Lonchura striata: one gene and its partners. The protein of the gene in region 4 purifies or fractionates together with the protein of the main gene of each other region. This does not show direct contact. Links are inferred from orthologs where the notes say so. Each region holds a gene or a part of one and is shown on either strand. Other genes may lie near its edges.

Region 1 (7,440 bases), on a different chromosome or scaffold from region 4:
TTTATACTATACACATAAAGCACCATAACCCAAATCTTATGGTGGTTGCACAAAAGTAAAGTGAACTTTGGACATCCTCCTCCCTTGCTTATCCAAAACAGGACCTAAATCACTTCATTTGGGATCCTGAGTGCAAATATTAAAAATTGAGGAATGTGTATATATTTCTCATTTTGTATTTCAAGTCACAGGTAAGTACTGCGATAGAGCTGTCGATGTTTCGGGACACCAGTCAGGCTGGGGATACTTGTTTCTGTCACACACTATGCTTCCACGTTTCACAATGCAATTGTTATCATTATTTAACTCAAAAAAGTGCAAAACAAGATAAACAAACAGCCTTTAAAACTACACAGTGTAGCACGATGATTTTAATCTTAAAATTCTTAACAGTCCTGCACACAGAAGCTGGAATGCCATCATGCCTTGTGCCATCTCGCTATCATTCTCCCTTGCACCAAACAGCCCTGGAAATGTCTCCATTTTATCTCATTAAATCCTGACAACTTTACTGATAGCAATTTTGAGAAACACAATGCAAAGGACAGAGCTCTGGACCACTTGAGACATCCTAGTTCAGTTCAGTCATGTAGAAAGCTCTGCTGAACTTACCCTGACATCACTGCTTTCTTCTGCTACCAGTTTAATTTCCAGAATAATACTGTTGCAACACGTCTGCTACTACTCACGTGAAAACTGCTGGCATGCAAAAATCCCCTCCAAACCCAATTTACAAAATAACAGAAGAAAAACATAAAAAGGAAAAGGACACACAAGAGAAGTTAGCTTTGGTTCAGTTTGCTCTTCCTGGGTGTAAGCCAACTTTGGGAGTTTGCCAACTACCCCAATTCTTTGCACTGACCACACAGATAAGACAAAGGAAATACAGCAGACAGACAAAATGTAAGAAAATCCACAGAATAAAAAAGGAAAATATTTTATTTGTGAACCATCAGGGTAATCACTGAAGTGGCCCAGGTGAAAAAATACTCAATACTAAGACATCAGAAGATAAGGAAAACCACTCACCGATTTTTCAAGGAAAGAAAAAACAAACCAAAAACAACTAGTCCCAAAATGCTTTGCCACTTCCTGTGTTTAATAAAACACCAAACACCAAAACCACAGATCTGTTACAACTGCTGCTGTTTGACAGCAAGATTCTGTCTCATGGAATCCTTTTTCTGTTGCAAACCTCTAAAGTAAACACCACACAAGGACACATGAAGATAAGCAAATATGGCAGAAAAGCTCCTCGCAAGACTATATATATATTTATACTAAAAAAGTCCTGATACAGGATGTGTAGTATTCCAAGACATAAAATTTTGATACTACCTGTGCATGAAGACATGATTTAGAATCAAACACATAGATTGCCTGTAGCTAGAGTGAGATGCACATTAAAAATAACATGGCAGAATAACTTTCTCCCCTAAATTTGAGTCAAATGGAGCGGTGGGTACTCAGGAGAAGCCAGAGCACATGGTCATCCAGAGAGCAAGCTCAAGTGTCCTCTGCCAGCTGATGAAAAGGATCTTACCTTGGCAAAGCAGCTTCCTGTGGTGAGGAAATGCAGAGCTCAGAGGGAGGAGGAACTGAAAACTCCTGGCACACACTTGGATGTACAGCAGCAAGCTTCACCCACTGCCCATCTCCGAGTGGGGAGAGGGGGCACCTGAAAGCGGCAGAAACAAACACTAATTAAAGAACTCTGTAGGGTAAATTGATATTAAGTATTTTTGTACACAAAATTAACTATCACAACATAAAAGACTTTTCTGAACTTTCCCGTCCAGCACTTGTCAGTTTCTGGGAGCAGATCCTAAGCTTGGGATGAGCAGTGCAATGCTCAGCTACTCACACAGCCAGTAAAGCATCCCCAGTTCCGGAAAGATACACCACGATCTTCCCATCTGCCATTCAGTATTTCTATACACCACGATCTTCCTATCTGCCATTCAGGATTTCTATGCCCACTGCTGCCAATTACTCCACTTAATCCTTGAAAAATACTCTTCCATCCCAGTCAGCACCTTTTCTCCTCATTGTTATTTACACTCCTTCATTCATAAACTGCCAATTCACCTTTAAGGCTCAACAATTCAGTTTCCAAAACGTGACCCAGTCATCACAGAACTGCCTAGAACTAGAGGGAGGAGAGGTTCTTAGGAGTATCACAGGGCCACAAACAGGTACTATTATATTTTTAAACTTTTGTGGAACAGCTGATTGCAATTTGCAAGGAAAAATTACTATACTATTTTAGAAATTATATTCATTTCTGCATGGGGATGAGGCATTAAATACTTGTCTTTTGGCTACAGTCATAAACTCTGCAACTATAAACGAAATTGAAAACAAACCCATTCATTAACAAATGAATATAAAATGAGATATTCTAGACAGTGACTACAGAAGTAGAGAGAAGAGTGAACACAGAAGTATAACTGTATTCACAGGAGTATTTATTGTACTTACAGGAGTGAATACAGGAAAGCAAAAGAGCTAACGGAAACCGGAGGTTAGGGAACAAAGTTATTTGAACTTGTTTTGGCCGGGGCACTTTCGCCCGCCCACAGGAAGCCTCAGACAGCTGGACGCAGGTGTAAGGCGGAGTGGCCACAGTAGCGGGCATGCAAAGAAGAAAAATCAGATATATACACGTTTTTATGCCCGGCCAGGCTGGGCGGGGCTGAGGAACGGGAAAGAGCGGCTGAGGGAGGCTCGGTGGGAGCCGAGCGGCACCGCCGCCAGAGCCCTGGCCCTGCGAGCATCCCCTCAGAGGTTCACCCGAAGAGAACAGCGGGGCCGGAGCCCAGGCGGGGCCGGAGCCCAGGCGCGGCCGCAAGCGCCGGGCGGCACAAGGCGGCCATACCCTCCCCCCGCCGCGCCCGCCTCCCGCCGCTCCTCTGCCCTACCCAAAATGGCCGCGCCCGGCGCCGCCGCCCGCCCCGCGTGCCCGCACGCAAAATGGCCGCCAGCGGCTGAGGCGGGCCGGGTCGCGAGTGACGCTGCGCTCGGCTAATGGCGGGCGGCGAGGGGCGGCGCGGCATGTCCGGGGCCGTGCTTCTTGCGTGCTTCTGCTTCCTGCCGGGGCGTGTTTGAACGTGTGGGGGTGGGCGGGTGAGTGCTCGCCTCCTCGGTGGCACCTTCTTCGCGCCGCTGTGCCTTCAGCCGCCCGCGCTTCAAGGTCGCTGTGCCGCGGGGAAGGAGGAGCAGGGGGCTGGGAGGGCTCCGGGGTGCGGGAGGGGTGGGTGGTCGGCCGGGTTACACCTGTCAGGGTCATGGGGTTGGGCGGGGGTGGGAGCATCTCCTCTCCGAGTTACAGCTTTGTGGCCGCTCAAACCAGTGAGGTATTTTGGTATAAAACATGAGTATACGTGCGAAATCCCATGGAAAGTATGTTGGGTTTTTTTTTCCACCTTCTTATTATACGAGGATTAGTTAATTGCTCCCTTTGTAATGGTGCCGCTTCTGAATACTATAAGGTGGTCAGGCAAAGCTGAACAAAGGTAAAGTGGTTTCAGGAGCTGCACACCTTGCTTTGCCTGCAATTTCAAAGTTCTGTATTACCTTGGGAGCTCAGCTACTCATTGAATTTTATTAACTATGGGGAGGAAGGTGTATTTTGAACCTGCTTTTGGGCTTCAGATGCTTACCATCTGGGCACTAGTGCTTGTAATTAGATAATTAGATAAAGCTTTGTTGTGTTTAAGATTTAGCATGCCAAAGCTCGAAGACAATGCAGCAATTAACATTTCAAAATGTCTGAATTGAGGTGCGTTTTTGTTCACAAAGTAAGGCTTTTTGTTTAGTGTTTTAGTCATCTGCTGCACTGCAATTAAAGGTATTAACATTCAGCTTCATGTATTCATTGTTGTTATTACAGAGTAAGGAAAAAATATTTCTAGAATATGTTTAAAATAATAAATTATCTTTACCTAGGTAGATGCCAGTTTGCAATGAGTCTTAAAACCTTCTGGAAGGACAACAAAGTTCTGATTGTTATGGGAGCTAGCCTGGGGCTAGTGCACTGGGGCTGGTATTACTTGAAGTCCAGTCCTATTTTCGAAGTGAAGACAGAGGATTTTTCTCCAGAACGTGACATTCTGACATTCATGATGCAAAGCATTCGCAAAAGCAAAGAAAAATAGCATTAGTACTTTGATTTTTGGGTAAGTTGCCTAATTAGTTGTGTCTGTGTTTATGAGGCAGAGGATGAATTAATTGAGAATTTTTAAACATACAGCCTTGGTATTCTAACTTTAGTCTTTCAGAGCTTTATTCTACTTTGCAACTGAGTTAATTTTTTGTACCTACATGGACCCAAAAAGTGCATCATAAATTTCAAAAACTACTGCTAAATCCCACACGATGAGCTCAGTTAAGTGAGGGTATTATGTGTCTTAAAGATATTTTAAAACAAGCTCCAGTAACTTCAGGACGGCAATGAAACTCATGTGACTGGATTTATAACAGTGTCCTTTCAGGTTTAAAACTGCCCAGAAATAATTCTGACTGTACAAAGTAACATATTATGACTGAGTAGGGATAGTGATTACAACAGAGAATGAAACAAAAGGAAGTACGAGTGTAAATACTGTAGAGTTTGCATAGAAATGTAAATAAGCGTTGATTTAAGTTTTACTGTTATAAGAACTGAAAAACTTTCTTTGCGGGCCTCTTGAAATAAGAAACCTTGTTTGAACATCAAAAGCTGTTGTTTCTGTTGCCTGGCAAGTACTGCTGACTAGTTGAGTTCTTTTGTTCTTGAGTAAAATCAGGTGACTATCACTGTAGTTTTGGTACTTCAGTGCAATTCAATGAAGTTGATGGTAGCCTGCTACTTACAGACCTGCTGATAACAGTACAGACCAGAGGTCAGAATTGAAGTTATTAATAGACAGGTATAATTGGTGCGCTCTCTGTGTTTGTAGTAAAATCATATTAGTAGATTTTCTCAGTTAAAAATGAGAGTGCATAGGCCAGTGGAGGTTCAACAAAGCCCTGACCCCAGCCCAGGACAATGCTGTGTCCTGCGCTGGGGTCACAGCCCCATGCCGAGTTACAGGCAAGAGTGGCTGGAGAGGTTCCTGGGAATGCTGTGGTGACAGCAGCTGAACATGAGCCAGCGTGTGCTGGCAGTGATTGTCCCCTGTGCTTGGCACTGCTGAGGGACTCCAGCCTTCAGAGAGGACACTGAGGTGTGAATGAGTCCCGAGAGGGCAGTGGTCCTGTGAGGAGTGCTGAGGGAGCTGGGGGTCTTCAGCCTGAGGAAAAGAAGGGTCAGGGCAATGTGGTGTTTTCTACAACCACCTGGAAGGTGGGGGTTGGTCTCTTCTTCCGAGTAGCAAGTGCTTAGGACAAGAGGAAACAGCCTCAGGTTGCACCAGGGGAGGTTTAGATTGGGTATTAGGAAAACTGTCTTCACAGGAAGGGTTGTCAAACACTGGTTCAGGCTGCCCAGGGAGGTGGCTGAGTCACCTAATGGATGCATAGATGTGGCATGTGGGGACATGGTTCAAAGGTGGCTTGGCAGTGCTGGGGTAACAGCAGGACTCGACTTCAAAGGTCTTTTCCAACCTAAATGGTTTTTGGTGCAGTATTTGTCCTTCTGTGACTTTTTTTGGTGAAAACTAAAATAGGTCAAGTTATACAATATTTTCATAAGATTATTCTAATATCTTTCTGGTTTTTATTGTAGGTATAACTAAGCTTGAAGGTTTTCATCTGTGACTGTTGCCAGAAAAGATGAAGAAAACTACCTGGAGTAGAAAGAACTTTCTGCTTGTGGCAGGACTGTCACTTATAGGTGTCCATATAGGAAGCATACTTGTAAACTATGTTGCGAAAAAGTCTGCCCAGTCTCATTCAGAAGCTAGAAAAAATCGTCTGGAATGAAATAGCGCCCTGCTGTTTATCCATTTTGCATGATTTAAGCCTCGTTTTAAGAGAGCTGTGATGAGTAGTTTCAGGAATGTTATATATACTGTTTCACACCGAAAATAATCCTTACCTGCAAAGAATTAAAATGTACTACTCTTAAAATATGAAAGTACAATGAATTATGGATCCAAGCAAAAATGAAATGTTTTTTTGGCTAGAATTAAAGTCTTACCTTCAAAATGTCTCGCCTTGAAGCTAAAAAGCCTCCGTTATTTACTAGCAAGCCGTTAACTAGAGATGCAGTGAGTCAGTCACTGTCTCTGCTGAGTGGGGTATTAAAATCTTCCTACGGTCCTGCTGGTCGACTCAAACAGCTCCACAATGGTGCGGGGGGCTGTGTTTGTGCCACTTCCCAATCCTCAGCCCTCCTGGGGCACCTTTCCATCAGCCAGCCCGTGCTGCGTGTCCTGACAGCCTCTGTATTGAACCACATGTCACGTTTCAGTGACTGTGGCTTATTCACTGCCATTCTTTGCTGTGGCTTCATTGAAAATTTCAGGAGCCTGAATGTTGCACCTTTTACTGTCATTCAAATAAGCAAGCATCTTCTGAGTCTGTGCATGAACCACCTGAAATCTGAGGCCTGTGGTTGCCGGGTGTCTGTGGATTTTAGCAGTCTTGAGACTCTTGTTTGTTTGGTACGGAGCATTTTAACAAGCAAACCTGCTTGCATGCTTAATAAAACTGAAGTTGATCATCTCACCTCGCTGGTTTTAAAGGCTTTTATATTTACTGTTCCGTGTCATGTTGAGACTAATGCAGTTTTAGGCAAGTGTGTGGTAATACCTGTGAAAGGTAGAAGAGTTGTGGATTCTGCAGTTCTTCCTGGACTGCTGATAGAAACGCCAGAAATCCAATTGGGAAAACCACTTGCTGTCAAAAGGACTGGTTCAAACGTGATCAAGATTGCACTTTTCAGTGTGTCCATGTCAGGTGACAGCTCTAACCCTGAGGAAGGAACTATAGCAGTCCATCACGGAGTTTCTCTGGAAGCGTCAGAGCTGAATCAGCTGCTCAATGTGGGGCAGCAGCTGGTTAAGGATGAGGTGGGCCTTGTGCTGTGCCAGAAGGTGATGCATCCCTCCTTGAAGCAGTACCTGAAAGAGAATGGTGTCGTGGCTGTGGACAGGGCAGGGCTGTCTCTGATGGAGCCCCTGAGGCGTGTGACAGGTAACAGGCTAGTTTTCTGCCTAAACCATTGTCCTGGAGTTGTCATTAGGAGAGCGTCACCTGGGGTGGTGTCATTGCAGAGGGAGGTCTCTTCTTTCCTTCTGCCTTAGCCACTGAGCAAGAGTTGCTCTTTTCTAGTCTAAAAATAACTTTTCAAGATGAATAGGTCTTCTGTAAAGGCCTTGATGGTGGCATACCACAGGTGTTATTACTGCTTGCTGCATGAGGGATATCCAATTCGTTTATTTTCAAACTGATTCAAGACAAATGAAAAAATTATTTTTTTAATTTCAATTTGCCACAAAGTCTTGCAGTTAAAAT
Region 2 (7,547 bases), on a different chromosome or scaffold from region 4:
TTTAGCCATTTGTACATGAAGCTGATTCAAACTTTTGTGTGAAAAGTAAAAATAAATGCCTGCATGAAAAAAAAATATCATGTCATGGGTTAAAAGGTGTAACTTGACATAAGTAAATTTGCCACTTAGTGCCAGCTACCTGAATTAATTATTGGAAAAAAAAAAAAAAAGCAATGAGCAACAGAAAAACTTGCAGCGTACAACAGTATGGTTTTTGACAAGAAAAACTAACCAGGAAGGACACCCAGGAAAAAAGGAAAAGGTGCTGACTGATCATTAGAGAAAGAAAATGCTTCATATCTAAAAGGCCCTGTAATAACACCTACAAAATCTGCACTTTATCAATCACATTTACATCAAATGACTAAAAAATCACCCCCCAACAACATCCTAGAAAGACTCCAACCTTTTGCAGTGCACATTGAGGATTATTTTCTGCTTTAAACTAGGTCACATCAGTTCTCTCCAGTAAAACTTTTTATTCTTCACTCTGGAGTGTTTTATTTATCCTTTCATCTTTTCAGCACTCTCTCCCCTCATGCCACTTTAATCTCTCTTCCACTTGTCACAGTGCACATGAGCACCCTGCTCTGCACATCACCCAGACAGCTGACCTGGTTCCTGCTGAGGACAGGGGGATCTCCCCCTCTCTCTGCTATCACAGGTTTGGTGCTACAGACCTCCCACCTCCAGCACCGACCCTGCCCAAACCTTCCCCACGTTAATCTGGGCCCCTCTCTGCACTGATCCTCCACCCCATTATACAAATCATTTTCTGTCAGTCCACCTCAGAGCGTGTTTTATTTATGCCGCACCTCACTTGTTCCAGTATTAAACTTGTTTATTTGATGATAGATTTTTTTTAATAGATAATAATTTTTATTCCGTTTGGGACAAAATAATTTGTTCACAGAAAATTGCTGCTTCTCACATCTATTTCTCACAGCAAGATTGGCTGTGCAAAGCCTTCCTGCCTCCATTTTGCTTTACTGAACACATGATTTCCATTAGACAATGAGGATCTACACATTCCTCAAGCTGTTAATTCCTCAGCAAGGCATTAAAAATGAAACAACAAGCCAGAAACAATAAGTTCTATTGCTCCTTCACAGGATATTTTTGATTCACTGGAAATTATTCTGCTGGCAAGATACAATAGGAAAACAAAAAAAATCTTTAAAATCAATTCAAGCACATTAGTAAAGCAGCAAGGGGAATAACTCGTCTGATGTCTGTCATTATATATTCCACATGAATGAAACTAGATCTGTCCTCTCTGAGAACTGAGTTGCACAATTCCTGTGCAAGTGGCAGAGACCAACATTCCAACTGTGACACCCTGTCAGACCAATAAGAAGTTTGATATTTGCATTTGTTTGTTTCAAACATGAAAAGCCACTGGTTGTTAAGAATATTCTAGTATCTAGTTATCTGCTCAAGGCTTGACTTTCTAAACATTCCCTGCCCCCATAGAGAAGTGGTCAGATATTCTGTGTATTTATAAGCCATTTAACAACTTCGCACATTAACTGCTTCTGCCAATAACATCCAAAAGTCAAGATTAAGATTTCAAGCAGGCACAACCTAAGCCACAACTGGTAGACCGCAAGCAGCAGAAAACAAATTGATTTGGGGTAATATATTCCACTGCCACTGTCTGCACACTGTGAGGAATGGTGATTTGCTATCCTGAACTGCTAGGAAGTATTATCTGGCTGTTTTTGCTCAGGCAGTGGTGACAGCTCTGTAACCTAAAGCACAATCTCTACTTCCTGGATTGGTTTAAAAAAAATTACTTGAGTCTAAAAGTACCGTAGAATCCTTGAAGAAGATCAACTATTTAGCAGAATCAGGAAGCTGCAGTTAAACAAGCAGCTTTAGTACCTCCCTCAGTAAAATTGTGTAACCAGTTGTAACTTTATTTAATGAAGGCATTATTTTTATCACTGGGGTGTGCATAGCCCTATTTACATGAGCATTTGATCCTGCAGCCTCTCAAAAATCAAAATAATGCATTATACAATAAAATCTGTTAGTGCTTAGGTTTGGATTTACTATGATTAAACTGGAGCCTGACATAAGTCTCCCCTGGGAGATAATTCTACCAGACCGAAGCTAAATGAGCCAAAGCTCCATGCGGATATCTGCACATTCTAATTAAATATTCAGAGAAAATGTAGTCAACCCCTGTGTGAACGCGTTTCAGCGCTGAAGAACGCGAGTGAGCTGGGTTCAAACGCCACTGGCTGTACCAGGATTTGAGCGCAGGAGCTTCCCGAGCACAGGCCCCGCGCTGCCCACAGAGCGCCCGGCACCCACCCGGGACTGCTGCCGAGCCGACACCCGCTGCAGACACAAAAACACCTGGCACGGCCGGGGAAAACCCAAACGGTGCTCGCATCTATCACAAGCCTGAGGCTGGCAGTGTGGCTGGCGGAAAGCAGCAGAATAAAGGCACCTGCACAGGGTTAAGTGAACAAATCCCAGCGCTGGCACATCCCTCCACAGCGCTCCGGCGCTCCACGGGTGTTCGCGAACTTCAGCTGCGTTCTGCTCTGAGCAGCACACGGAATTTCACCGGGAAACGAGTCCCGCCGAGCCGGGACTGCTCCCGACCCCCGAGGGGCTCCGCAGAGGGATTCAGCAGGGCAGGTCCCGCCGCCGCCCGGATCGCCCCCGGCCCTCAGCACAGCCGCGGCCTGCCCGGGGGAGGCGGCCCCGGCCCCCGCGCTCACCTGTCCCAGTTGCTGTCCCAGTAGCTGCCGCTGCCGGCGGCTCTCTCGATCCAGCCGGCGGCCGGCGGGCAGGAGGCGGTGGGCGGCAGCAGCAGCAAGCCGGGCGGCGCGGCGGAGGGCGCGGCGGAGCCCCCCGGGCGCGGCTCGCTGTCGCCACCCCCTCGGGCCGGCTGCTTGCCCACGACGACGGCGGAGAGCAGGACGGAGCCGCCCGCCAGCCCGCAGGCGGCGAGCGCCAGGGCGCGGCGGGCCGACATGGCGGGGCGGCCGCGGGCCCCTCAGCGGCGAGCCCGCCCCGCCGCGCCCCGCCCCGGACGGAGCGCGGCGCGGGGCAAGCTTCCTCCCGAACGGGGAGCGCGGGGCTGCGGGGACCCCCGGCCCGACCCCCCGGCCCTCACGGACCCTCAGAGACCTTCACAGGCCCGTCCCGGCCCCTCTCCCCCGGCCGCGGTGCCGCGCCCGCCTCTGGTCCTGCCTGGCCGCTCCCAAACCGGTTCCCACCCCAGGCCGGTCACCGGGTGGGGCTGGGCAGGGATTCCCCGCCAGCCCTGCCTGCTTTAATCGCCTGAGGCGGCGGTCAGTCCTTCAGGGCGAAAAAGACCCGCACGTTGAGTCCAGCCACTAACCCGGCACTGCCGAGTCCGCCACATTTAATTACAAGCCCCGAGCCTTATCACTTGTCCAGCTGCTCCTCAGCACAACAGACCAGGAGTCACTGGAGAGGGTCCAGCAGAGGCCACAAGGATGATGAGGGGCCTGCAGCGTCTCTTAAGAGGGCAGATATGGGAGCTGGGCCTGTTTAGTCTGAAGAGAAAACTCTTTCTCACTAGTGCCCAGTGATGGGATAAGGATCAATGGCCTTAAACTGGAACACAAGAAGTTTCACCTCAACATGAGGAAGAGCTTTATGTTGAGGGTGGCAGAGCACTGGGACAGCTGCCCAGGGAGGTTGTGGGGTCTCCTTCTGTGGGGACATCGCAAACCCACCTGAATGCCTTCTGTGTCACCTGTTCTTGGTGACCCTGCTTTGGCTGGGGAGTTGGACCAGATGATCTCCAGAGGTCCCTTCCAAGCCCAATCATTCTGTGATTCTGTCATACTGGAATAGATTTCTTACAGGCATCACTGGGTCTATGGCACTGGAAACCAGGAACCTGAGTTTTGGTTAATAAAAGTGGTTACCAATTTACAAACCAGGTGGATTCAGCAGAGCTGAGCTGGCAGCACCCACCTGGGCATTCCCATCCCACCTCTTGTGCCTCTGGCCTGAACGCTACTCGCTCTTCACACAGAGGCTCCCTCCAGAAGCCAGAGCTCATTACAGCTCCACACATTGCCTTGTGCACAAGAAAGACACGGTGGAACTGAAATGTTAATTACCTCACACTGGAATGTTAATTACCTGTAGATGGCCGATGGTGCTGTCTTAAGCTCACAACAGAGGCCTCATGGAGAGAGACTCAGAAAAGAGCCCTCTTTTTCTGAGCTGACATCCCAAATTCAGCACTGGTCTCTACCTGTCAGATTCAGTAGTTTGCAAATGGTGATAGAACTGCTGCTGAATGTGGACCTTGGGATGCCAGAAGATTCTACAGATTCCACTATCCAGCTTTTGTTAATTTAATTATGCATTCTTACAACATCTGTCCACCTGTTCAAGCTCTAACTCCACACCCATATTCCACAAATTCTGTAATACTATTCCTGCTATTCCACTGGCATGCCAGCTGGGCAGACAGTTTCCAGCTGCCGGATTTCAACCAGTGTGAGTGACCCGGAGCCACTGAGACCAGAGCCTGTCCCCTGCTGAGTTAACAGGCTCAGGCTCCTGCAGCACTCACAGCAGGGGTACAAGGACGCTGTGCCTGCCCAAAGAAAATGGTCTTTCTGTTAAAGTGAAGCAACCTTCCAGCTTTCCCAGCCGAGTGTCTTTCCCCTGCCCACCACTCCGTGTCTCTGTCTCACACACAGATGATGCAGAGGAGGCACATCTGACTGGAGCACAGGTCCTTTGCCTCTGGGACATTTCACAGGCCGACAGTGGCTCCCAGGGGTCACATAAGTAAATCAGACCCTGATGAAAATCTGCTACACACCCTCCTTTATCCTTCTTGCCTGCTCATTCTCTGTATTTAAGATACTCGGCTTTCTGTTTCTTCTTATATAGCTTTAAAATGTTAATTTTTTTCTTCAGTTTATCTTATTATATAGGCAGGTGTGGGTATTTATATTGTGTATGTTCTTTCTTACCAAGAGTCCAGAGGAAAAAAGTTCTGTTTCAAAACCTCACATCCAATTCCTCCTAAAGTAGCATGGTCCCTTTTCCCCAGGTCTCAGTCTCCCAAAGTCCTGCAAATGCTTTCAAAATCTTTTCTCTCATAATGCCTGTTCTCTTTTATCCCTCGTAATACTTATTCTCCATTAAATGCTCCCACTTGTGTCCTACCTCTTCCTCTCCTGCCTGCCCTCTAACTGAATCCCATTTGACCTCCAGCATCTCACAAATGAAGGAAAAAACTGCACCAGACACCATCACTCACTTGGGGACAGGGACAGGTTGAAGCTGGATTGGACAAATAAAACTATTTCTGGTGAATCTCTCAGTAGCTTGAACTGAATTCTAAAATCATATGGTTCCATTTGAAATTTCAGTGCTATTCGAAGTGCATTGCTCACACAAGTACCTGCCATTTGAGGTCAGAATCCCAGTAATAAACACAGGCAAGTTTCTGGAGTGCATGACAGTGTCACCAAATGCACCAGGGCTGAGCTCTCTCTCTCACCACCAGAAAAATTTCAGACTGTTATTAAGCAACAGTCAAAATTGTTTCCCCAGCACAAAAAAGTATTGCTGAACATCTGGGCAATCTCATTATGCTAGAAAATGAAAATTGATAATATTGTTTGCCTCAATGCTGCATTTTGGCTGTCATTAGTCTGCATTAACACTTCACCATCAGGAATCTCCTGTGCCTGTGCTCCATTCTGCAGTTTATTTTTGCTTGGGTTAGGCACTAATACACTTAGGCAATTGATGTTCAAAAGTCTTTTGAGATTACCTTAGATTTTCCTCAGTATGTCCAAAAATGTTATTAATTAGATTATATTTACCACTTTTTAAAACTTGCAATTCAATTAGGTAAAAAAAAAAATCTCAAAAATAATTTGTTGAAGATTACCACTAGCTTGAATATACAGTCCTGTGTTCAACAATATCTACCCAGCTTCTTGCTCTTTGTTCTTTTTATATGTATTTATATTGCTGCTCTTTTAATCCAGTTTTATTGTGTTGTATTTCATTTGTAAGCAGAAAATCCATCTAAGAGGATAACAACCTACTGATGCCCACTAATGGAATTATTCTGTTAGTGAAAACAGTAAATGCTTTTTCTACTGATGCCATAGGTCCAATCTTCAGGGATGATTCCCAGGGGCTTATCCCATTTCTGTGGTTTGATGCACAGATACCTTCAAGGAGGATGCCCAAGGTTAGGGCAGCCTCTGAACTGTGCTGTGACCAGAACAAAGAGAAGAGAAGTCAGAAAACCAGCAAAAGGTTTCAGAAAGTTCAGCACAGGTTGGGCCCAACAAATGGTTTCCCCTGGCAGGCAGAAAATCCCTGTGGCTAAAGCAGACCCACAGCAGCCCTCGGGGTTAACTTCACCAGGAAGACAAACAGCTCATCTCTGTATGGGACTTGGATCAGCACAGGGATGAGTCAGTGTTTGGATGTTTTAGCGTTAGCTACAGGGAGAGCAAGGGCAGGTCTCTAGCCTACAACTGGCAAGCAAAGTTTATGAACTTTCAGGCTTTTTTTTTTTTTTTTTTTTTTTTTTTTTTTTAAGCAAAACAGAGTAATAAAAGGACATTTGAAACAAGGAAAATGTGGTTTTGAAAAGCCTCTTCCATGACCTCAAAAATTTTTACTCACCATGTATCACCTTCCCACTATTAAACAAAAACAAAACAAAAAAGTGTAAATTTATTCTCGAAAGAACAGAGAGAGAGAGGAAAAAAGCTAACACTATATCATTTGAACCACATGTGTTCAGACATACACTGTGGACTTACTGCTGGCCTTCTTAAAGGAAATATTGATGTCATCCTGGCCTGCTTCAGATCCTGCAACATTTAAATGATACATTAAACATTTGGGTTATAAAATGATGCTACTTAAGCCCATTTAATATTATTTTTTTTTTATGAAGCAAGAGAGAATACTAGTTTTAAGCAACTTTGGTTAATATGATTTGATTAGTTAAAAAAAAAAAAAAAATAAGATTTTGAAGCAGACCCTGGCTTCCTGACTGTGTCTGACTGCATCACTGAAGGGTAACCAGGACAAATACTGTGTTGGTTAAATACAGCACAACATTTTGGGAGATTGTGGCATGAAAGAAACTCTACATATATATATATTATAGCAGTGATTCAGATCTTGAATTTAATCTAGATGGTGTGAATCATCTACTAGAGGATTTTTCAGATTTCCTTTGACCAGAAAAAAAAAAGAGAAGCGCATTTAAGATGAAAGACTCCTCCTCCTCCCCAGGCACACTCTCTAGAAGCATATTCAAAAGCAGGCTTCGCCTTATCTAAAGCATACAAAGTCTTTATATCATGAATGATTAATCTATTTCTTAATTTTGCTCTCACAGTCACCATCTTTCTAACTGAAGTAGATTGAAAGAATTTTTTTTAGTAACAGTGGGCATCACTGGTAAACTGAAGTATCTGAAATACACCTATAAGGAACTGCTCTTGTTTGCTGGGACTGGATCCTTTTCCCTACTCCTTTAGTAAGGAGTGAGT
Region 3 (7,986 bases), on a different chromosome or scaffold from region 4:
CACAGTACAAATTAAGTCCTATCCTGCTCTCCCCAAAAAAATTATTTTCTTTATCCCCTCTAGGATTCTCCCTTTTCCTTTCTTTGAATGCCATCTATCTATCTGGCTTTTTTTCCTCTTTTGTTCTTTCTCATGACTTTACACCAAAACAAAGGTGCCCTGTGTTACTCTTTCCATCAACAGAGAAGCAGTAAGAGCAACACTGAAGCAGACACAGAGGCAGTTCAAGCTCCTGTGCTTACACACCTTCACACTACTTCAACTCCAGACGTGAAAACAGCATTAATTCTGTCAGTTTTACCTTTTGGCTCTTGAACTATGAGGTGAGTGCATTCATTCATCTTCAGCTGGCCCGTGTACTGCCCACCATGCTCAGTAGTGAGGCGCTGCACTTCTTTCCTGTCGGAGCTGCTTAAGCCAGTGACACAAATTGTGCAGCCAAGGAACACAGGACAGACGTAGTCTTCCACGTTAACATCAGTGTACCTCACCATGCTACAGGAATGAATGAGAGAAAACAGTCATTTTGCAAGTAAAATCAACTATGAAAAAGAAATTAGTCTGTACATAAGAATTACCATTATCCAAAACAAAATCAGTTTTGTTTTTTTCATACCCTTGCTGAGATTTATCCCACAATGTCTTAACCCAAGAGGGAAGCAAAATAGGTTTCTTCAGGGAAGCAGCTACCAAGTATTTCTTGCTGCCAACTTCTCCAGCTATAAGATGAGTTACTGACATGTTGAGATCTCTGTATACACATCCACCCATCATTTGCACATATTTATGAACTTCTTCCTGGATGGGGAAAAAAACAGAGAAAACAGACAGGAGAAAAAAGAACCTATGTGGCAGTCATGTTCACTTTGCACCAAAAACATGGATTTCAATTGTCCACGATTTCCCCTAAAAATACCAACTAGATATATATGGAAGCCATAAAAAGGAAACTGTAATTTCCATTTTATTTGCACTTATGATGAACATAATATATACCCTAAATATATACCCTAAATAAAAACATGACAATTGTGGTCTATGAGCAAAACTTTGCAGATGGTTACCATTTCAGGAAGTACTAGAAAAAAATATCAGAATAAATATAAAGTAAACATATATAATCATATTTGAGGTGTATTAATACATTAATAGACCACACATAGTCCACAAGGTACAGAAGACTTGATGGATCTAGACACAGGCACAATGAGACATATATGCTCTGACTGCTGCCTTACTAATGAACAATGCAAAGCAAGTATCAATGATAACCAGCTAAACAATCCATCCTTGGGAAGGCCTTACCCTCACGTCCTTCTCCAGGCTGGTACAGGACACTGTGACATCAGCCATGGTCATGTTGTACACGGGATACTCAGCTCTTGGGACACAGCGCTGCGACTGCATGCAGTACAGAACTACCTGTGGTCCAACAATCCTACAGCCAAGCTGCAATAAAATAACAGGGAAAGCACAAAGAAAATAAGCAGGGTGTTCATTTGCATCAGGAAGGCTTTTCTTGTCCCTGAATTCTGAAGAAGGCAGGGCTCTTGGTCTGTCCTCCGCCTTCTTCTCTACAACCTCCAGGTAGCTGACAGTTCTGGTTTTACTTTCAGTTCTGGTTTTACTTTCAGTTCTGGTTTTTCTGTACAATCCTTGTAGATTTTCTGACTCAGTAAAAACAGCTGATGCTATGGCTAAGGCCAAAGGACTCCAGCTAGCCTGTGTCCATTAGACAATACCTTGCAGATGAAACCAAATCAACTTTATCAGGAGCTCAGGGACTCCAGCAGAGAACATGCCATTTACTTTTCCAAATGTTTAAAAATAATCATTATGCTTTGCATAATGATTAATAATAAATAATAATCATACACTGCTACACGCAGTGCAGAAGAGAACATGCAGGATATAAATATGGACATGAGTGCTTCTAAAAAGGAAAGAACAGAGCTCAAAGTAAGTTGCTGGATGCCATACCTTTTTGAGATGACTGAAACCCATGCCACTGAAAGGATCACAAATGTAAAGTGACTTATCATTTTCTTTTATATTGAGTACTGTTTCTTCTTCAAGGATCTGGAGATGTTCTTCTGACTGGAATTCTTTTATAGCCTGCAGGTAAATGATGTGTACAACAACATTTATTTAATTAGCAAATAATTAATAAAGAAGCAATCCTGTGCAAACTACACAAGTGCACGTCCTTGCAACAGCTCACAACAAAGCTACTATGCAAACAGGTATTGGCAGAAGGGCTAAAACACCTCTTCACAATATTCTAACTTAAATATTTCGCAAAGAAGCCTTCAGGACCTGATCCTGCCATATGGTGCCTTTGGCTCCCACTAACCTCCTAAGGTGTAAAACAATGCAGAGTGCTCAGATGAGCGACCACCATCCAGGCCTTACATGTCCCTTCCCTATATGTCACCAGGTTTTGAAACTGAAGCTACTTCATGAGGCTCTCCAACAAAACTGTTCTTGTTCAACAAGCTTTACTACACACTAACACCCCTGCTATAGAAAGAGATTTATTTCCAGGAGTACAGACGTAAGTTAGTTTATTGTATGGCATATACAGCCGAACTCCGACACAGAAATCACACTCCAGTTCACCAAGTTCACCCAGGTCACCAAACCCACTTACCTCAAGAGCTTTAGAAAAATACTCCGAGCTCCCGGCAGACTTTATGAACTTCACAAAAAACGGGTCCTTACTACTTCTCATCCTTCAACTACGAAGCAAAACCCAGTGAGCGCGCTGACATTCCCGCCGCAGCCCGGAAGCCCTCTCGCCCCTGGCGCTGTCCGCGCCGGGCCAGGGGCCCAGCACACGCCGCCCGGCCTCGGCGGCACCGGCTTCAAACGCGCACGGAGGGGCGGGGACTGGCCGACCCCAACCGAGAAGCCCCCTCCCCACCGGGAAGCCCGTTCCCCACCGGGAGGCCCGTTCCCCACAGGGCCAAGGCCCGCACGGACGGGTCCCTGCCGGGCAGCGGGTGCGCGGCGCTCCCGGTGCGCGGCGCTCCCAGCCCCGACGGACCCGGCCCGGCCCCTCACCCGCGCGGGAAAGCGGCGCTGCCGGCACTGCGCAGGCGCGGGGCGGGGCCGGGGTTTTTGATTCGCTAGCGCTGCCGGGGCGGGCAGAGGGGGCGGGGCCTGGGCGGATGTGGGCGGGGCGTGCCCGCGCTCCGCCCGCAGGGGGCGCTGGGCGCGCGCGTGGGGAGCGGGCGGGGCGGGCGGCTCGCTGAGGGCGCGCGGGGCCGCTGGGGGAGACGGGAGCGGAACTTAGGGAATCACCGAGGGATAACGCCTTGGGAGGGTGCTGAGCGGGCGTCTGGCCCCAGCCTCCCCTGCATGGCCCCCGCTGAATACGCTATACCCTATCCTGGCATTGACCACTACCAGGGATGGGGCATCTACAACCTTCTTGGGCAACCCGCTCCTCACCACTGTCACAGGAAAAAAATTCTTCCTGATATCTGACCTAAATGTCTGTCCCTTCTTTCAATTTGTGCCCCATATTATTCAATTTTTGCCCTATATATACATTACTCCTTATTCCTATCAGGGCAGTTCCTGACTGTGAGTCCCCCTCTGGCTTCCCTGCAGGCCCCCTTCAGATGCTCTGCATTGGGTTTGCACAGCCTGGTTAAAAACCAGGGTAGCCGGGGTGGCTGCTTTGAGCAGCCTCTGGAAGCTTCCTCCATGTCCAGCAGAGCCAAGCCCTGGACGATCCAAAGGTGGATTGGGCCAATTAGAAATGGCGATAACGTATCTATAGTAATATATTTAAGAAGAGAGAAAACCAAAAAATAGTTGGGAAATGGTAATTGTGGCCGGAGAAGAGTGGCGTGAGTTGCATTTTTCATCAACCATCACCCCCAGGTTGTTCTCCACAGGGCTGCATTCCATCGCTTCTACACACAACCTGGAGCTGTGTCTGGCATTGCCCTGACCCAGGTGTAGGACCTTGCACTTCACTTTCATTCTTGTAGGTTGTAGCGTCCAAGCTGTGGGCAAGAACATCAAATGCTCTCCTTCCAGAGCAAGGTCTGGAATCCGGAACCACATTCTTGGCATCTGCCTACATGATGACAGGGGGACCCTGCCTACACATCCGATGGATCTTCATTCCACTCTTAGTGACCACAGTGCCTTGCTGCTGTTTGCGTAATACTGATAATGCCTCTAGTGGGGGAGTCATTCCATTAGGAGATTTTCTTAGGGAAAGAGATCACACTATTAATTAGGTTAGAAAAGACCTCTGAGATCATCGCGTCCATTCCATGACCCAACACCATCCTGTCAACCAGATGGCAGATGTGGTACCACACCAAGAGCTACATACAGTCTCTCCTTAAACACCTCCAAAGACAGTGACACCACCCATTGGAAAGCCCATTCCAATGCCTAATCACCCTTTGTGTGAAGAAATTCATCCTAGAATATGTTTTGAACGAGAAAAGCACCAAAAGCCTGCCTGGAGTAGTGCATGTTTGCTGGCATCAAACTCTACAGTGAGACCACAGGGTGGCACTGTGATCTTAAGAACTGAAGAACTGTGCACAAGTCCGCTGCAATTGTTAGATTTTATCTAGATGACCTAATACTTAGGTCACTAAATACACTGGAATTCCTTTATACGCTTATTTATTTTTAAAACCACTAATATAAATCATCTAGGATCAGTATGAATGGCCTGAGATACTGCTTTTCCCATTGGTAAATGTAAACAAAATCAAATGTCATGACAACCAAAATAGCGTATTTATTATTAAATTATAAGTGGATTTATCTTGATGATGCTGTGTTATTTGATTATGCTGGTTCTTGGTCCACTTGTAAAACCCCAATTTTGTCCTGCCTGTTCTTTCAGTGTTACGAAGAGGAATTTATTTTCCTTTTTCATTCTTCTGGGCTGTTGTAAAAAATAAGGGGATGGAGGTGGGAAAAGATCAAGAAGTCTAACAAAATGTTAACCAACTTTAATGGATCGTATAATACAAACTATTGTTACAGTTATTGGCAGAGTCCTTAACTGAATGTATCAGCAGTGCAACCAAATACTGAGTTTTCAATTTTCTGCTTGAATGTGGATCACGGTTCATTGCTGTCACTGAAATATGACTTGTTTTCATGTGCTGAAGTGTGATCCCTTTCCAGTGAAGTGGTGGAAACTCTTGATAAGCTGCCAAACCACTGGGCCATCAACCTCAGTTCCACCTCTTTCCTCCAGAAGCTGCTTGTTGCTTAGAAAAATCCATTATTAGAAGTCCATGTTGTAGGAGAATCAGGGCAGTTTTTACATGCCTCTCAGAAAGCTTATCAGTGTGCCCATGCACGTTTGGTTGTTGTGCTTTGCTCCTGAAAGGTTGACAAAGAGGCATTACTGTGTCTGGCATCAAAGCCCTCCAGAGAAAGTAGTTTCCTAACTGCAAAGTGTTTTCAAGACCAAGCGAAAGTTCTTATCAAGAGCAGAATAAAATATAAAATTTTTCTATAAATGTATTCTGTAAGTAAAAAAAAAAACAAAAAAGCCTGACTAGAAGGTGTGTATTTGTCATTACACTGATATATTTACACATTTTAAAAGCATGTACAACGTCCAGAAAGTAATTGATGCACAGAGCCTTAAAGAAGAGTATGCAGCTGAAAATGAGGAGTGGTATTCTTCTGTTACACTTTCCATGTGGATGTAGTTCCAAAGAGGTGCTTAATATGACAAAATAAATAACACAGAACAAGTGGTTTGATAAGTAAAGATTTCCCTATTGTACTTCCTGCTTTCACAAGCACTTTCCACTGTAAAATTTCTTTGAGACTTCTTGAAACATTTGCTTCTTTGAAAATATTATTTAAAAGGCTGTCTAGAGAAGCTGGGAAACAGAAATTCCCCTTTTGGATAGTAACAGCAAACAAAATAGTCACTTTTAATTTGCTGTCTCCAAAGCTGTCCAATACCATATGTCTTAGGGGAAGTATAATAACTGTTAGAAGTAAAAATTGGTCCAAATTAATTAATACTCTGCTTGTGGTACATTCTTAAGCACCTGAGTAGCCCAGTATTTATTTCGTGTTTTCTATGTGTTCTGATGTTTTACAGGTTCTGAGCTTTATGGAGAATCAGTCGTATTTAACCACCAGTCTTACTAATTATGGAATTTTGCTCTCTGTAAGACTCCTAAATGGCAAAAAAACCCCCCATTGTCATAGCCCCCCAAATGATACCAGTTTCTAAAACAAAAGATAAATGGTCTGTGCCCTTGACTCTGTAGAACAGGGAGTATTTTTACTTATTCAGATGTTTTGTTAACTTAAATGTTTATAACATACACTTGTCTCTAAAAATATCTGTGTCAATCCAGTTCAGAAATAATTTTCACATCTGTTTCACCACTGCTGTGGTTTGATAGCCATTATGCCTGCATTCATTTTTTTTTTTAAAGTCTTTCTCTTGTGCAGATTACAAAAAAGGCAAGCAAAATCACTGCACTAAAGAACTAAAACAGTCTTGAGTCATTCTTCACATTTGATCCAACCTGGTTAAAGCTCCATGTGAAATACTTTATTTTTAAAATACTGTTACCACACTTATTTTCTGATCAGCTATAGGACATTAGTTTTTAAATGATAGCTCAGTAATATTATATTTTTAGCATGAGAAGCATATAAAAAAGCAGATGAGTAAAAGAGACTCTTCAGATGTATCAAACTCAAAAATCACTAGGTATTAGCCCCTAGCATTTAGAACTATTGTGAGAAAGATCTAAGTGGTTAGGACTCAACCATACACAAAAGAAAATATACCATAAAATATCAGAGTCCATTCTAAGTATATAAAATTTTCCATTTCATGCTGTATGATGGACCTTAGTAACTTAGCATTATTTATAGAGATACACAACCAGACCAGTAAAAAATATGTCTGAGACTAAGTTTAAATGAGTGAGGTATCTTGTGTAATGTACAAAGTCAAGAGATGTTTCTAAGTAACCAGTGTAACTTTAAAACCTCTAGTTCACTTCAAAAAATCTGTTAGCCTGCTAGCTCAGGACCCCAGTCAGGTAATTTTCTACCTTCTTTTCATGTATTTTAAAATACCCAAGTCTGTGAGTAAATGCAAATTTTGGTAAGTATGTGTTCTGTGATTTTTTTTTTCAGCTGCCTTAGAGACAATATCCAAAAGAGATTCAGCAGGCTTTCATCAAAGAGTTGATCTCACAAGAGTCAATCCAATTTTTTTACTTTACACAACTTATAATGCAGCAGAAACTTCTTGTTCTCCAGTAGATTGGGTGTAGGTGGAACTTGCTCGTTCAGCTGTGTCAGCATAGAGAACAGGACAGCATTTAGACAAGTGGGCTGCAATCTGCTTTCGGAAAAAGCTGCGAAGATATTTCCTAAATTTTTCTCCAGCGAAGGCATAAATTACAGGGTTGATACAACAATGGATCATTGAGATTGTTTCTGTCACTTGTATCGCTTTATGCAGTTGACCATTTCCTTCACAAGTAGAGATGGAAAATGCACCTTGAAAATCACGCAAGAGAATGCAAATGTTGTATGGTGCCCAGAAAAAAAAGTAGATAATCATGATGATGAAAATAAGCCTGACTGCTTTATGTTTCTTCTCATTCCTACATTGCAGCAACGTCTTTATAATTTGTGTGTAGCTGCAGATCATGATTAACATTGGAATAAGTAGTCCCAGGATGTTCATATTTAAGGTGAGGAATTGCTTCCATGTATTTCTCTGCTCTGATGGATAATGAGCACTGCAAGAATAGCCTGAACTTTCCTTCTGAGTTTTGTGAAATACTACCCCAGGAACAGAAATAAGAACAGCAAGAGCCCAAGTGACAACACTGGTGAGGACACCATAGGTGACTGTCCTGGCTTTCAAAGCAAACACCGCATGCACTATGGCCAGGTACCTGTCCAGGGTCAGCAGGATTATGAAAAAGATGCCACTGTAGAAGC
Region 4 (6,880 bases):
AACTAAGAATTTACAATCATTCAAATGTGTTGTTTCTGATCCTTTGTCAACAGAAAAGCACAGATTCGATTTCCAGAGAGTTGTCTGTCCATAATAAATTGTGTTTGATTTTTATCACTTAGGAAATTGTTCAATGAAGGGCAGTAATTTCAAATGAGTCATCTCTCTGAGTAACATCACATTTCCCTCAGCAAACAGCTCAGATACAGTGACATACCAGATGTCCTTAGATGAATTTTAGCAAAACAGAGCAAACAACTTTGTTGGCTGAAATCAGTAGATCTCAAAACTGGCATTAGGGAGTCATCACTAAGGAAATCATTAAGGTTGGAAAAGAGCTTTAAGACCACCAAGTTCCTTTACAATGGCAGCTTCTCTGCCAACCTGCTAATGAAAGCAGATTTGGCCTGGCCACACCAATGCAGAAATCCTGCAGGGCAAGGCAATCAGCCTCTGCTTTCACACCAAACTGACTCGCTAATTCAAGCCACAAAGGCAAAGACCCCTTTGCAGAATCCCTGCTCCTGTTCTTCCATGGCTGGGCTGAGTGAGGAGTCTGTGGGGCTGGATGGAAAGGATAGGTCCTGCTGGTGTTTGACCTGTTGACATGCTGCTCTCGCCGCAGGGTGTTCATGGCTGTGAGATCCTTCTGGCAGATCTGACAGAAGAACAAGCCTGCATCCTCCAGGCTTGCCAGGGCTTCCTCCTTGGATTCCTGCTGAAGAGCCAAAGCCAGAGCACTGTCGTGTTCCACGGATGGGGGATGGTGGGTATCTGGCAAAGAAGGCAGGGATGATGTAAAATGGAAAACTAAATCCTGTGTGGAAGGTGAGAAACTGGTACACTAGTCATTATTAGCTTTTTAAATTAGACACACAAAAATTCATTGCAATCTTCCTCTTGCATCTACACACCTGATCTCCACCAGGAAAGGTACAACCTGCTCTTTTCCAACAGGAGCAAGAGGTGACAATTTGCTCACAGCACATCACATGTCAGACACAATGAAGGGACAGTTTTGGCTGAAGTTTCTGGGGAAATTATGGAATTTTATACATCAAATGTACAACACAGCAGACTTTCATGCCCATACAGAACCAACAGGGACTTGATCTATAAAGAATCAACCAGAGTAAATTTGCTGTGATTTCAGTTTATCAACACAGAACGTATCACCTTAGATAGTGCCTGGAGAGGTACCAAAGATGGGGCTACCTAAGAGCTGCTTAACACTGTCCCAAGGGAAGGATGACCAAGTTCACCGGTCCTGTTAGAATTTCAGTCTGTTTCCAAAGAGACAATTATTCCTCTAGAATTTACATGAGATTAATTCAGCCTTAGAGAAGAGCTGGGAAAAAGGTATGGATAATCCTTTAATGAAGTTTTCTCAGGGATCTGGAGTGATTTGCACAGCAAGCCACTAGGCTAGCCAGGAACAAAGCCCTGGGATCCAGGACTGCTCCTCAGGCAACCATTCTCACCAGCCACTCATTCTGCAAACACCAGAGCCAAGAGGAGACACGTACCATCCTCAGGAGGGTTCTGCTCCTGGCTCCTGGCAGGGAAATCCCTGCTGGCTGCAGCCTTTGGCATGCTCCCATCCGAGCTGTGTTTCAGCTGTTCAGGTGCCACCCTCTTGAACTGCTGCATTCTCTCCACCACCAGCTCTGCCACCCGCACCTTGGGGGTGGGTGAGGAGCAGGTTCCTGGAGGAGTAGCAGGAAGGAAGGGCAGGGTAGTCTGGGAACAGCCGCTTTCTGGATTTACTAGAGGGGAAGAAAACACCAGTTTTACCAGGCAGTTTTAAACACACACTGAGAGCAGCTGGAAGGCCCCTCCCTGAGAGCAGCCTGGGCCAGGCTCAGTTCTACAACAGCCATTCTTGGAGAAGGGAACAATTTGTGTAGCCACAGTAACAACACTGGGGTTCTGTGCTACAGGGGCATTTAGAGACTTCTGTATCCCTTTTATAGGCAGTAATATAAAGAAAGCCCTTGCAGGAAGGTCTCCAGCAGGGACATGGAAGGCAGTCCCACAGCCCTGCTCTCCCAGCATTCCCACTACAGAATGTCCTATTCCTGACTGACCTATTTTATCAGTTTAAGGACTTCCATCATTGGTGACTGCATTCTGGCCATCATGTTTAACAGCTAATGAAGAACTAATCCTTTACTAATTAATCCAACACCCTTCTTAACTCATTCATGTTTTTGCCCTTGAAAACATCCAGTCACCATACATTGAAAACAATATGTCACCATACATTGAAGCATTGAGTGAAAAAGCACCACAATATGCTCTGAGCTTGCTTCTAGATGATCTGAGAGTACTTTTCTCAGTTCTGACACTGCAAAAAACAGTGTATAATGACTGGCCAGCAAATCACTTTGTACCAAGGCTTCACCTTACTGAAGGACATCTGCCTGCAGCACAGAACACACTCCCAGGTTAAACCCATGTAAGGCATAAGCCTGCTTTCAACAGTGCTACTGTGTCCCCTCTGGGTGGACTTCTCAAAACCTTCACTGAGATACAGAGTCCTTCCAGTCCTTGTCTATCTCCTGTGTGAACTGTTTCAGGTCACTTACCTGTCAGAGGCCTCTGGCTACACTCAGTGGTCCCTGTGCTTGGCTGGCTGGCAGGGAGAGGGCTTCTTGCTCCATTCCCCTCTGCAGTCTCACCACTACAGGCTGCAGCATCACCATCTTCTTCGTGCACCAATGCTTGCTCCTCTGGACCCAAATTTTGAAGTAAATTTGTCTCCTTCACTGCTGGTAAGTGATGATGGGTTTGGCTCTTAGCAGCAGCTTTGCCTCTTCTTAATCTGTTTTGTGTTGTGGTGCTCTTTGGCCTGTTCTGAACCCTCTTTGTTGCCCCAGCATCCCCAGCCTTTTTCTTTGCCCTACTCAAAATATTTGCCCACAACTCTTTAAAATCATTGTCCTGTTCATCCATTGGCTTTCCAGTAACACTGTGAGGACTGGAGGGCAGGGGGAAGCACCAGAATCAGTTCAGATTTGTATCAGCCCTTCCAGCACCTCAGAGATGTCCATTCTCCAGACTCCAATAAGATCATCAGACAGAGTGGGCACTTCCAGTAGTTCATTCTTCCACGCTTAATTCACATTCAGTAGAGCATGCTTTCTCTCCAAGAACCTCGTCTGCTTTCACAAGCTGGTTCTTCAGAAGACTCTGGACCACAGGTTAGGCACCTCAGTTTGTGAGAGCACACGTAGGATCATCATGGTAAGCTACAGAGCTTCAGAAATAAACTTATGAAAGCCCTTAAACAAAGAAACAAAGGCAGGTAGTCACACAAGATGGTACAGGCAGATGCACTATGGGACAAGGTGTAAACTGCTGAAGGAGAAGAGGATTTGCATGAAATACTAAGATTAGAAACAGCACATATTGACCCCAAACAGTGTCCCTATAATTGTACTACAGACATGCCCAAGCCACATTAGCAAAGGAGAGGAGAGATATTAAAACACGTATCTGATATGGTTAGGTTTTTTCTTAGAGCTCTGGATTCAGACAGTCCTTCTGTTATACACATTCCTACTTATATTTATATAGCACAAAATCAGTGAATGCAGCAGGAAAAAACTCCATCCTTCAGCTCATGCAGTGATTCTGGAGTATTAAACTCTGCTTTGAGACACTACAGTTTCACAGAAGAGATCCCAGCCTCATTTGGAAAAGTAAATAAATGGAGTTTCTGGTACTTCAGAAGGGGTTTTAGGACAAGTCAGAGAACAATTCCATTAAATATGTTCACCTTTTCTCTCCTCTTACTTCCACTATTGCTCACTCAGGATTAGCTCTCCTGCTCCTGCTCAATTCTTCCCCTGAGTACTCAATAAACCACAGCACTGATTCTGTTTCCCAAACTGCTGTCACATATGTATTAGACAGGGATTACCTGGAACAGCACTGGGTACAGTGTCCAGATGGAAATGCCATCAACTCCCAGGCAACATTAAGACTAGAGCTCTATTCTTACACATGTTTTCATTGTCCCCTTCTTCGTAGTCCTGAGTTCATGATGGTTCTGGCTATTTTACCAGGAGTTTTTATTGCTCCCAAAACCTACTTCTTTCAAACCTAAACCAGAATGTTTCACTTGGAATGGCAGCAGCTGTGGTCCAGTTACTCCGGTAAAGCTCTGGGCAGAGAAAGACTCAAAAAGCAGGAAAAACACATGGGGGACTGTTTTCTCAAATGGCTTGGCTGCAGACATGAGAGGCTGAGGAATGCTGGTTACACACTTCCATGGATCAGCCTTTTCTATAAGCAATTACAGACGCTAATGGATTTATTTATTTTAAACTCAGGCTCCCAGACCTGCAGAGGATTTTGCTGTGAATCTTGGAGTAATTTTCTGTTAGAGGGAAACAAAAGTTTCATGTAGCTGGTTCATAAATTTACTTCTTCTGGACAGAACTCTGGGGTAGTTACAACTGTAAATTGACCATTTTCTTCTAAGGAGGAGACAGCATGTCAAGAAGTCCCAAATCTCACATCCTACACCGCTTTAAATACCTCAGACACATCTGTACTGCCAGATTATTTATGGTGAGTTCCTGATATTAAACTTTGAAACAGAGCAGCATATTTGGCTATCAATATTCAGTGTCCCAGGCAGATCAGATCAGAAACACCTATGATGCAAAACTAAGACTTTATCTGTATTACTCCTCCCTTTCCAGACCTGCATTTACAGATTCCTGCTCTGTTCAACATCTCAATATTTCTGAAGCTGCTGCTACTGCTGCCCCTAACAACCAGCTTTGGCACCAGTTTATTGAGCTCAAAAAGTAACAGTTTTGAAAGTAATTTCTTTCACTATAATGTTCAATTAATTTTGGAAGATTTTAGGACTCAACAAATCACAAAATAATCAGCAGCACTTACCTGCTCACTGAGATGCCAAATCTACAGCCCAGCTGTGCCCTTCAAGTAAACATGGATCAGCAAAATGGTACAAAGCAGGACCAGTAAGAATGAAAGACAGAACCTAGAAAATGGAGGGAAAAGGATGGATTTAATGTATTTTGAAATTACTGCTCTCGATGATCCTTTGCACCCTTTCAATAGGTACCTGATGGGAGCCTACAAAAAAAGATGGAGAGGGAGTTTGGACAAGGGCCTGGAGTGACAGGACAAGGGGCAATGGCTTCCCACTGCCAGGGAGTAGGATTATATGGAATATGGGGAAGAAAATCTTCCCTGTGAGGGTGCTGAGGCCCTGGCATAGGTTACCCCATCCCTAGAAGTGTTCCAGGCCAGGCTGGACAGGGCTTGGAGCAACGTGGAATAGTGGAAGGTGCTCCTGTCCAGAGCAGGAACTGGATGATCTTTAAAGTCCCTTCCAACTCAGATTATCCCGTAATTCTATGATTTAAAAGTATGTACCTACTACGTGCCTTCAATTTACTGCCTTGTAATTACTTAGTTAAATAATAAATCCCTTAAAAAACCCCAAACAGCTAAAACAGCTGTTGCTCTCCCACTTTTCAGAGCAGCCTCTCTTTTAACCCCTGAAAACATTTTTCCACCAGCTATCTGACTTACATGCTCTCAAACACACAACATTTGGGCCTGCTCACTTGCTGCTTTACACTCTGTCTGCTCCAGGAACAATTCTCCTGCCATTTCAGCCTCCAAGAATATGTCATCACCGTGGCTACAACAGCCCATCAGTGCTAGCAGGCCTCCACAAGTTGCACACAGCAGATACCTTCTCCCCTCCTGAGCACCACAGTGGTGCTTCAGGACATCTCCTCCTCAATTCCTCATCTTGAAAGAAAAATTCACTTTATACTTCCAAAACCAGGAAAACACCTTCGAAGCAATCTCTTGTATTCCACAGGAAATGCTAAGGGAAATGGGATTAATTAACATTAGAAAGCAAGGCAACAACAAAACCTGAATTATTATCTGGGGTCCCCAGCACAGGAAGGACATGGAGCTGCTGGAGTGAGTGCAAAGGAAGCCACCTTTGTACCCCACCCCTCCCTCCAGCTTCACCTCAGGCTTCAGGAATCAACTAATTGCCAGGACCTGGATGACCCTGGGCTACTAATTACAGAGTGCTGGCAGCAGCAGGATGATGGGATGCACCACTTGGCTTGGCACTGGAAGTTTCATCACCTTCTCCTCCTTTTGTGGAAGCTGCAGCCAAAGATCTGAGGGTTAGTGATAAAATTTCCAGTCAAGTCAGACCAAATACTGCGAAAGGGAAGAACTTCTGTAGTGTTTTTCCTGGCAGCTACACTGGAAGGAGGTCTCTAGGGATTCCTCCAAACCAAATCTTGTAACAAAAAATCTCCCTACTGGTTCCTGATGGAGAAGAACCTACATGTCAATGGTGTGACTTCTGAAAAAGCACATTATCCTCCAGCCTTTTATGGATTCTTCATTAGAGCCTGATCTCTGCACTAACCAACACCTTTATCACTACTTTATAAAGACATGACACTACATCTGTACAGTGCAGGGTCTCTGTGGTTGCAAAAGCACAAAAAATTTAACACTGAGGACAACAAGGCTTGTTCTGTGAGAACAAATGTAAGTGCAAAACACAAATCCAAAGTAGGTACGACTCTCTTGTCCTGGTCTATGCCAGCTTCCCTGTGCCAGAAAAGGGTAACAAAACCAGATGAGGAAAATAGGAAATGAGAAATTAATTCAAATCTCTATAAACAAGGGAATGCTAGGTAGGAAAATCATACTGAGATTCCAAGGAGCAATCTTAGCAGGGATCAGCATCAGTGTCCATCTGGCACCACCCACTTCCATATCTGATGTCCCATCAGTCCTCACATTTCTGTTCAGGGCTACACCTCCCCCTGCCAGCACCCTGTTCATATGGCAA

Evidence for each region.
Region 1: the proteins of SLX4 (region 4) and SLX4IP purify together in Homo sapiens (affinity purification with mass spectrometry; 6 studies listed by BioGRID and IntAct, with this or other methods). This does not show direct contact. The link is inferred for Lonchura striata from reciprocal best matches to the Homo sapiens genes SLX4 and SLX4IP.
Region 2: the proteins of SLX4 (region 4) and PGAM5 purify together in Homo sapiens (affinity purification with mass spectrometry; 4 studies listed by BioGRID and IntAct, with this or other methods). This does not show direct contact. The link is inferred for Lonchura striata from reciprocal best matches to the Homo sapiens genes SLX4 and PGAM5.
Region 3: the proteins of SLX4 (region 4) and TOPBP1 purify together in Homo sapiens (affinity purification with mass spectrometry; 3 studies listed by BioGRID, with this or other methods). This does not show direct contact. The link is inferred for Lonchura striata from reciprocal best matches to the Homo sapiens genes SLX4 and TOPBP1.

The regions. Positions count from the first base shown.
Region 1 is NC_134605.1:23,369,231-23,376,670, forward strand, and holds the start of SLX4IP (protein SLX4IP), read right to left. Parts: upstream 3,016-7,440; 5' UTR 2,922-3,015; intron 2,806-2,921; exon of another isoform or gene 2,482-2,805; intron 1,679-2,481; 5' UTR 1,544-1,678; intron 1-1,543. Other genes in the region: uncharacterized protein LOC144246043, read left to right, coding at 3,966-4,157; uncharacterized protein LOC144246044, read left to right, coding at 5,755-5,904; molecular chaperone MKKS, read left to right, coding at 6,129-7,119.
Region 2 is NC_134620.1:8,397,262-8,404,808, reverse strand, and holds the start of PGAM5 (serine/threonine-protein phosphatase PGAM5, mitochondrial), read right to left. Parts: upstream 3,006-7,547; 5' UTR 2,993-3,005; coding exon 2,736-2,992; intron 1-2,735. UniProt on the Homo sapiens protein: Mitochondrial serine/threonine phosphatase that dephosphorylates various substrates and thus plays a role in different biological processes including cellular senescence or mitophagy. Modulates cellular senescence by regulating mitochondrial dynamics.
Region 3 is NC_134603.1:113,164,817-113,172,802, reverse strand, and holds the start of TOPBP1 (DNA topoisomerase 2-binding protein 1), read right to left. Parts: upstream 3,002-7,986; 5' UTR 2,732-3,001; coding exon 2,651-2,731; intron 2,116-2,650; coding exon 1,981-2,115; intron 1,450-1,980; coding exon 1,306-1,449; intron 799-1,305; coding exon 617-798; intron 496-616; coding exon 302-495; intron 1-301. Other genes in the region: C-C chemokine receptor type 5-like, read right to left, coding at 7,262-7,986. UniProt on the Homo sapiens protein: Scaffold protein that acts as a key protein-protein adapter in DNA replication and DNA repair. Composed of multiple BRCT domains, which specifically recognize and bind phosphorylated proteins, bringing proteins together into functional combinations.
Region 4 is NC_134618.1:4,009,732-4,016,611, reverse strand, and holds the start of SLX4 (structure-specific endonuclease subunit SLX4), read right to left. Parts: upstream 3,005-6,880; 5' UTR 2,956-3,004; coding exon 2,589-2,955; intron 1,767-2,588; coding exon 1,527-1,766; intron 775-1,526; coding exon 600-774; intron 1-599. UniProt on the Homo sapiens protein: Regulatory subunit that interacts with and increases the activity of different structure-specific endonucleases.